Tribolium castaneum: one gene and its partner. Each later gene encodes a partner of the first gene's protein in a complex. Links are inferred from orthologs where the notes say so. Each region holds a gene or a part of one and is shown in the gene's direction. Other genes may lie near its edges.

What was found.
Region 2: CSN7 (region 1) and CSN5 share a complex: the UniProt entries of both Drosophila melanogaster proteins name them as parts of the CSN complex. The link is inferred for Tribolium castaneum from reciprocal best matches to the Drosophila melanogaster genes CSN7 and CSN5.

Annotation. Positions count from the first base shown.
Region 1 is NC_087395.1:497,257-501,877, forward strand, and holds the start of CSN7 (COP9 signalosome complex subunit 7b), read left to right. Parts: upstream 1-1,774; 5' UTR 1,775-1,871; coding exon 1,872-2,036; intron 2,037-2,084; coding exon 2,085-2,249; intron 2,250-4,167; coding exon 4,168-4,476; intron 4,477-4,532; coding exon 4,533-4,621. Other genes in the region: IQ domain-containing protein E-like, read right to left, coding at 1,303-1,464, 1,512-1,526. UniProt on the Drosophila melanogaster protein: Component of the COP9 signalosome complex (CSN), a complex involved in various cellular and developmental processes.
Region 2 is NC_087395.1:23,654,525-23,658,094, reverse strand, and holds CSN5 (COP9 signalosome complex subunit 5), read left to right. Parts: upstream 1-1,461; 5' UTR 1,462-1,782; exon of another isoform or gene 1,783-1,826; 5' UTR 1,827-1,847; coding exon 1,848-2,005; intron 2,006-2,054; coding exon 2,055-2,931; 3' UTR 2,932-2,987; downstream 2,988-3,570. UniProt on the Drosophila melanogaster protein: Probable protease subunit of the COP9 signalosome complex (CSN), a complex involved in various cellular and developmental processes.

The DNA of each region.
Region 1 (4,621 bases):
AAATGAGATTTTAAAGCTCGGTATGATCAGTAAGATTGTTTTTTTGGCACCAAAAATTAAAAAGAAAATACAATGAAATATAAAATTAAAGAATTATTTAACATTTTTTGTTCAAAGATAATAATCATACTTTTGATTTATGAGTTAGATCGATTATTCTTTGACACTGAAAATTAAAAAAGAAAGAAAAATAAAAAATAAGAATAAGGAATTTTTGTTCAAAGACAATCAAACTATTATGCTCGGTTTTGCTCTAATTACTTTTTGAGTTAGACTGTTTTTTTAACAAAAATAAAAAAATACATATACATATGAATATGTTTTTTTTTAACAATTGTTGCCTGAAAATGATAAAATTTTTCCGATTGTATTTTTGTTACTACAATGAATTTATCAGTAAAATAGATTTTTTTGACGAAAAAAAAATAAGTAAAATAAAAATAGAAATTTTTAAAACTTCTTTCCTTAAGACAATAAAATTTTTAAGTGTGATTTTATTACTACAATTAATTTATTAGTAAGACTTATCTTTTTTGATCCTAAAAATAAAAAAGAAAGAATAAAAATAAAGAATTCTTAACAGTTTTTATATCTTATATAATTATACTTTTTTAAGCTTAGTTTTTGTTCCAATTGATCGTCTTTTTTAGATACCGAAAATTAAAAAGAAAATCAAAATAAAAAATTAAATAAGAATTTTTAACAATTATTGCCAAAAAAAAATAATTTTAACGTTCGTTTTTTATAACCACAATTAGTTATCTGTAAGACAGCAAAATTAAAACAAAAGTAAAAAATAATTATGTGGAATTTTTTACAATTTTTAAGCTGGGCTTTTGTTACTTCAATTAATTTATTAGTATATTTAATATAACTGTTTTTTTTGGCTCCGAGAATTAAAAAAATAAAAATAAGGAATCTTTGACATTTCTTACCTAAGGATGGTTAAATTTTAAAGCTCGGTTTTTATTTACTATTTAATTTATCGGTATGATTTATTTGTTGCCTTATTTGACTATACTTATTTGAATAAATTTGTACAAGTTTTATAGACGCCAATTTGTTGTAATTTTAGCAAAACTTTTTATACATAAACCTAATAATAACAGCTAAATTTAATTGTTTTACCTTCAATTACTAAGAAAATCATTTATTTATTGTCATATAAGGATAAAATTACAAACAAATAGTGTCAATGATGTTTTGTGAAAAACTTAAAAGAAATAAAAGAACAAATTCTCCGAAAGAAAGCGAAACACTAAAATTGTTTAAAAACTTGAAACTTTTAATAGAGTTTTTTACCTTTTTTGGATCCAATATAGCATCAATTTGTTTATCCTTTTTAATAATTTCATTCTGCAATTTGCGTATTTTCACCTTTAGCATACGATTTTCGGTGCTAATGTTGGATAAATTTTTCTTCAGATGAAAAATTTCAGTCCGCAAATCTCCATCATCTTGTAACTAATAATACAAAGTATAAATAAACTAAAGTATAAATATTTTATTACCTCATTTCGAAACATTGTAGCCGAAGACGAAGTTACGTTTGTTTTGTTTGTAATTTAAGTATTGATCAAACAAATTTTACAATGTAATTAGCAACGGATTGCAGCAAACACAAACATAAATATAGCCGGGTTAAAAATATTATATAATTAAAACTATTGTATCTATTTTCTACTATTTCTTACTTTCTTTAATCAATGTTGTTAAATTTTAAACAAATTTAAATTTACCGCTTTATGTCAAAAGCTGCGCAGGCGCAATTATGTTTCTTTGACATTTGACAGCAGCGTGTGACAGCTGATCGGTTGTTGTGTTTAAAAAGTGCTTCAAAAACAACAAATTAACTAATAAAAACTAAAAAAATGGTTATTGAAAAAAATCCTTTCCCTGGCAATGCCTTGGAACAATTTGTTTTATTGTCAAAGTCAACAAAAGGGGCTGCTTGTTCCGAACTGATCAAGCAAGTGTTGGAAGCCCCCGGTGTTTACGTTTTTGGTGAATTACTTCACATGCAAAACATTGAAGAGGTAATCAAACATATTTTTACATTTATACATTAACTAAGTGTTTTGTAGTTGAGTAATACACCACAGAAAAATTTCTACAACACTCTCAACTTGTTTGCTTACGGAACCTACAAGGATTATCTAGCAAATAAGAAGGATTTAATTGAATTAAGCCCAGCTCAGAAGAAAAAGCTTCAACATTTAACCATTGTTACGTTGGCCACCAAATCAAAGGTAGTTAAAGTAATTCCACTTTAGTGAAATTAAGTTTTTAATATGGATAACTATAGATTAGGAAACGACACGACCTACAAATAAAAAGTCCTCGTTCTCGATAGTTTCGATAGTGTTGTGTAGATGGCGGAGCACATTATTGTATTAAAATTTATCAATGGTTTTAATAGCAGTTAGCACATGGTATCCAAAAAAAGCATGTTAATGCAGCTTTTGGCTATCATTTTTTATTAAAAAAAATACAAGTTATTGCAATTTGCGAATGTTTCGGCATAAAAATGTCATCAGCTCTTAATGATTTTGTTTAATCTAGTTTGTTTAAAAACAAAAAAATTGTTGGCGTTCTTTCCAAAGCACTCTTTGTAAAAATGCTTTTTTCTCCATTTTGATGAGCATTTAAGATTCGATTATATCATGTGATACATAGATGTAATCGGAAATGAAAACACTTCAAAAATACAAAAAGCAAATATGGCTTCCATAAGAAAAAACAAAATTTAGTGTTGTAACACTGACATCAAGAACGCCTTGGAAAATGGGACGACAGATTTAGATTTCTTGTAAAAATGTACCTAAAGAACGTTCTAGTTAAAAACGTCTAGTTCTTTTGGTTTTCACTCGAAAAAAATTAAAACCCAAATTTTAACCACCTCGTATCTCGTATAATAACTGAGATTCCCATGGTGGAGCTGAAAAAACGGCCACCCAGTACATTGTTTTGACTACTATAACAATCTAAAGATAATCGAGTATATTCCTAAAATTCATAAAAGGGACATAAATTTGTACCATGTTACATGTTCAAGTTAACAAAAAAAACAAATATAAAAAAATTAAAAAAAGATTTTTTAACCATTTTTGCCTAGCGATAATCAAACTTTTCTGCTCGGTTTTTGTTACTACAATGAATTTATCAGTATCTAATACGAGTGATTTTTTTGAAAGTGAAAACAAAAAAATTAAAAACATTTTAAGCTTCTTTTTGATCCAAAAACTAGAAATTTTTACCGTACTTTATAATAAATCTTCTAAAAAGTCTGCAATTTTTTTTTATTTTTTGTCAAAAATAATTAAACTATCGACAAATTTACGTCATTTTCAAGCATTTTTGCACAAAAACTATTCAGTTCAAAATTGTACTATTTTTTAACTTTGTAAAAAAGTTGCATTGCATTTTTCTCTACAACTTTTTTTTAATAGAACGACTCTATTTTCTTAACGGCAATGGAAAGAATATCGATATTTATGGTGACTTTTATCAATACGTCCTATACCAATCTCTTACAGTTTTTGAAAAAAATCACAAAAAACGGATTTTACTTGGTAGTTTTCATAGTTAATCAAGTATACCTTGCAAAATGGTCAACAATTATCAAACTTCAATTTTTTATTTAGTTTTTAGCTGTTTCATTATCGAATAATCAGTAAAATAATCACATTTAATTATAGTTTATTATAAGTTAGTGAATTATGTAAAGTAACTCAGTCAGTTTGCCATTGATCCTTGAACTTCTTGAATGAAAATGGTAAATAAATAGGACATTTCTTTTTGTTAACAGTACAATTTTATCGTATTTTTCAAAAGTTTACTTGATTAAAAATGAAAATAATGAGCTAAAATTCTGTTTTTTGCGATTATTTCAAATACTGTAAGAAATAGATATATAGAAGATGTTATTAAAAGTATGCATAAAAATTGATGTTCTTTTGATTGCTATTTAAAAAACTGGGTAATTCCATTTGAAAAACTGTTTTATAATCATTTTTTAATCATCATTTTCAACAAATCATACCTCTAGCTATGTTAGAAGTTAAAGTTTCTAATGTAGGCTCTAAAAGAATCAGCCTATCTACTAATTTAACAAAATTTGATTGATTTTTCTTAGAGCAAGTAATAATAAAAACAATGTTTTTTTAGTGTATTCCGTACAACACCCTTCTGGAAGAGCTAGGCATAACAAATGTTCGTGATTTGGAGGACTTAATAATTGAGGCGATTTACGCTGACATTATTCATGGAAAATTGGACCAGAAAAATAGTCAATTGGAGGTTGATTATGCCATAGGTCGTGATATTCGTCCTGAAGACATTAATGTAATTGTGAATTGTCTCCAAGACTGGTGTTCGGCCTGTGAAGGTGTTTTGGCTTGTGTTGAAACACAAATACATAGAGCAAATAATGAAAAAAATAAATCAATGTTGAGAAAAGCTGAAGTGGAGCAAGAGGTATTTTTTTCGAGTTTGTATCATTACTTTGTTTTAGATATGCATTTTTTTTGTAGATTAGTAACATTAAAAAGACTCTGAAAACTCAATTACAAGAACGCTCTGATGGAACTGACGAGGCTATGGCTACTGATAACAGGGAAGC
Region 2 (3,570 bases), about 23 Mb from region 1:
AAATTTTTTGCTATATATACTTATTTATTTCGTCTTATTTCATATGTAGGGTAAAAATTACTGCTAAAAAACACTTTATTTGAAAATTTACGCTTATAGCGAACTGATTTTGATGTATTTCGTTATAACCGGACCCCACTGTAATAACGAGAATAGATCGGGACTGCTTTTCACGTTTCTGTCAATAATTTAAAAAGCGTCCTTCACGCAATATTACAATGTAAGCATAACAATTATTAATTTAATTGTCACGATTTAGAGCCGTAAACTTTTACTGGAGAATAACCGGTTGGGAGTCAAAATTAATCTTGAAACTGTCACAGCTTAGAACATTATCCGCACTACAAAGAGCCTATACATCACGAAACTAGTTGGAAATACCGTTGAACCCACCAAAAACTCACCTAAATTGAAACAAAGCTGCATTCGCTGGAAATCCTTGCGGTTATTTTAAAATTCGCAGCAGGTGGTATCTGGACTCGTTTAAAAACCCGGTTTACGCGTAAAAAACCTGGTTATTTTTAATTCGGGGGTAAAATCCCCTAGTCTAAATTTAGTTCGAACGGGAGGAAAGGAATTCATCGTGTTTCAATACGCGAGTATGTGGCCTTGGATTTGAATTTTTTACAGGCGCGTATTACATTGCAAGAAGACAGATAATAAACAAATTGCGTTTGAAATAAGCGATAACCGAACAATGCAAGTGCACCACAATGGTCGTTCCGTTGGGGATTTTCGGCACAGACATGTGGGTGCCACACCGACACCCTGACTCACCCTCGGACCCCAAGTCACGAATTCGCCCCTAATTACGGGGGACGTGCACTAACAAAGAACGCGGCCTAGCAACAGCCCCCAGCCTCAAGCATGGCCCCAATTTTTGAATTCTGCGACAACCGGCGCGCATCCCTCGACTCTAACGTCCCAAATCGCGAAAACTACGACATTTTCGCCGGCATTTGTTAGCGGAAATCGCCCCCCGGACCCAAAAATATGCTATTTAATTGACCACTTGGCCCAAAACTCACCTTATCCTCCTAAAATCCTATTTAAAACGAGCACAAATTCTACAACACAACGTTACCACACTACTTATTACAAACTTTTCTTTAACTAAAACGCGCATAATCTCGAATCAAAATGGCGGGCGCCCCACCATTATGCACCGAATGCCGCCCGCTGATTGGTCGGTTTGATTTAAGACGCTTTAGAATTGCCAACTGCTAAAAAACCACCCTAATAAAACTGTCAGGGTGTGGTTGGACTTGTTTATGGGTTTTAAACGATGAGACTCCAATTATACTCCCATAACGTTACACCGAATTACGGCCGGGCTTTACGTTCGCAAAAACCAACACAAAGTCGTTTCGTGCAAATGGGAAAAAAACAAAAGAAAAACGCTAATGGGACGACATCTGCAGGACTGTTAACACACTTTGCGAACACCTGTCCCACCTTGAAAAACACAATTCGGTAAAAATAGCCCAATGAAGGCAATAACGGGCCACCAAATGCCAAGCCACTCGTAAAATAATTATTTTCTGTGACAAAACTCCTTGTCGGTTTGTGCCACAAACAATTTATCGATTTTTTTTCATTACCATTATGCATTGTCTCATTATTACAGCAATTAATACGTAAATCGTCCCATATCTAAAAAAAAAAATTAAAAAAGTGTCCTTCCAGTTTTTATATTTACGATTGGTAGCGCTGTAATTTGACATCTGTGTTTTGACAGGTCCGATTTTTTCGAATTTTTGCCCAAAATAGCCCAGAATTACGGTAAATCCTCGTCATTTTCGCAATAACTCTCCATTTGTGATTAGCTTTTGCCCCCTTTTGCCGCAATGTCGAAGCCGGGGACCTCCGAAACCCAGGAACAAATCGCACAAAAAACCTGGGAAATGGCCAATAAAGTCGAACTGGTGAACTCGGTCGACGATATTTACCGCTACGACAAGAAGCAGCAGCAAGACATCCTCGCCGCGAAGCCCTGGGAGAAAGAGTAGGCAAAAGTCGGCCCTAACCTCACTTTACCTAATCTCAATTTCCAGCCCTCACTTCTTCAAAGATATCAAAATCTCGGCCTTGGCCCTCTTGAAAATGGTCATGCACGCGCGTTCGGGGGGCACCCTGGAGGTCATGGGCCTGATTTTGGGCAAAGTCGACGGAAACACAATGTTTGTGATGGACTCGTTTGCGCTGCCTGTGGAAGGGACAGAGACCCGAGTCAACGCACAAGCTCAGGCTTACGAGTACATGAGTTCGTACATCGAGGCTGCGAAGCTGGTGGGCCGCCAGGAGAACGCGATAGGCTGGTACCACAGCCACCCGGGATACGGGTGCTGGTTGTCTGGGATTGACGTTGGCACCCAGATGCTCAACCAGAATTTCCAGGAACCGTTCGTTGCCATTGTGATTGATCCTGTGAGAACCATTTCCGCGGGGAAGGTGTGTCTAGGGGCGTTCAGGACGTACCCGAAAGGGTACAAACCAGCAAATGAGGAACCGTCAGAGTACCAGACCATTCCTCTGAACAAAATCGAGGATTTTGGGGTGCATTGCAAACAATATTATTCGCTTGAAGTGTCGTATTTTAAATCGTCACTTGATAGGCGATTGCTTGATTCCTTGTGGAACAAATATTGGGTCAATACTTTGAGCTCGTCTAGTTTGTTAACGAATGCTGATTACACAACTGGGCAAATTTTTGATTTGTCGGAGAAGTTGGAACAGTCGGAAGCGGCCATTGGGCGCGGGGGGTTCATCGTAGGCGGCACTGATCCGCACGAAAAACGAACAGAAGACAAACTGTTGAAAGCTACAAAGGACAGTTGCAAGACTACGATTGAGATTATTCACGGACTGATGGCCCAAATGATCAAAGACCGGCTTTTTAACAGCACTTCCTTGAATAATTCGACCCATTAACGCGTTTTAATCTGTCTGATTTGTTTGGATTTAATAAATATTTATTTATAATCTAATTGGTGTGTTATTGGTTACCTAGTCCTAAAAAACTACGGATATCTAAAGGTTAGGATACGAAACGTCGTACAAATAAAACGTTCCCTTCCAAAGCAATGGATTTGAAAAAATTGTATTCGTATATCGGTTAACACAGCAAAAAAATACAGGCAAATGGAGCATTAAATTCTCAATAGTAAGACATAAACATAATGAAAAAAAAATACCGTAAACTACATTTAAAAAAATTTCAATCTTTGCCAATTAGCACTCTATCCCATATTTTTCAAAACGCTGGGAATACGATCAGCTTTTCTCAGTCTGTTCAGAGTGCAAAACTCAACATTCCTGCATTTTTTTTTTCAAGTAATTAGTGAATAATTGAATGAATTTAAATTAATTTAAAACGACTTGGCGCCGGTATAACGCTCGAAGTGCCCACATTTTTGCTTCACTTTTTGGGTCCAGAAAATCCCACGATTCTGCATCTCGTTCCGTCTCCTAAGTCATAGTCCTCCGTAGCAAAAACCCAACCGGATGCATTTATATTCCAGTGCAAACATTATGCAAACGATAATTGCGTCAAACACAAATTCTAGAATC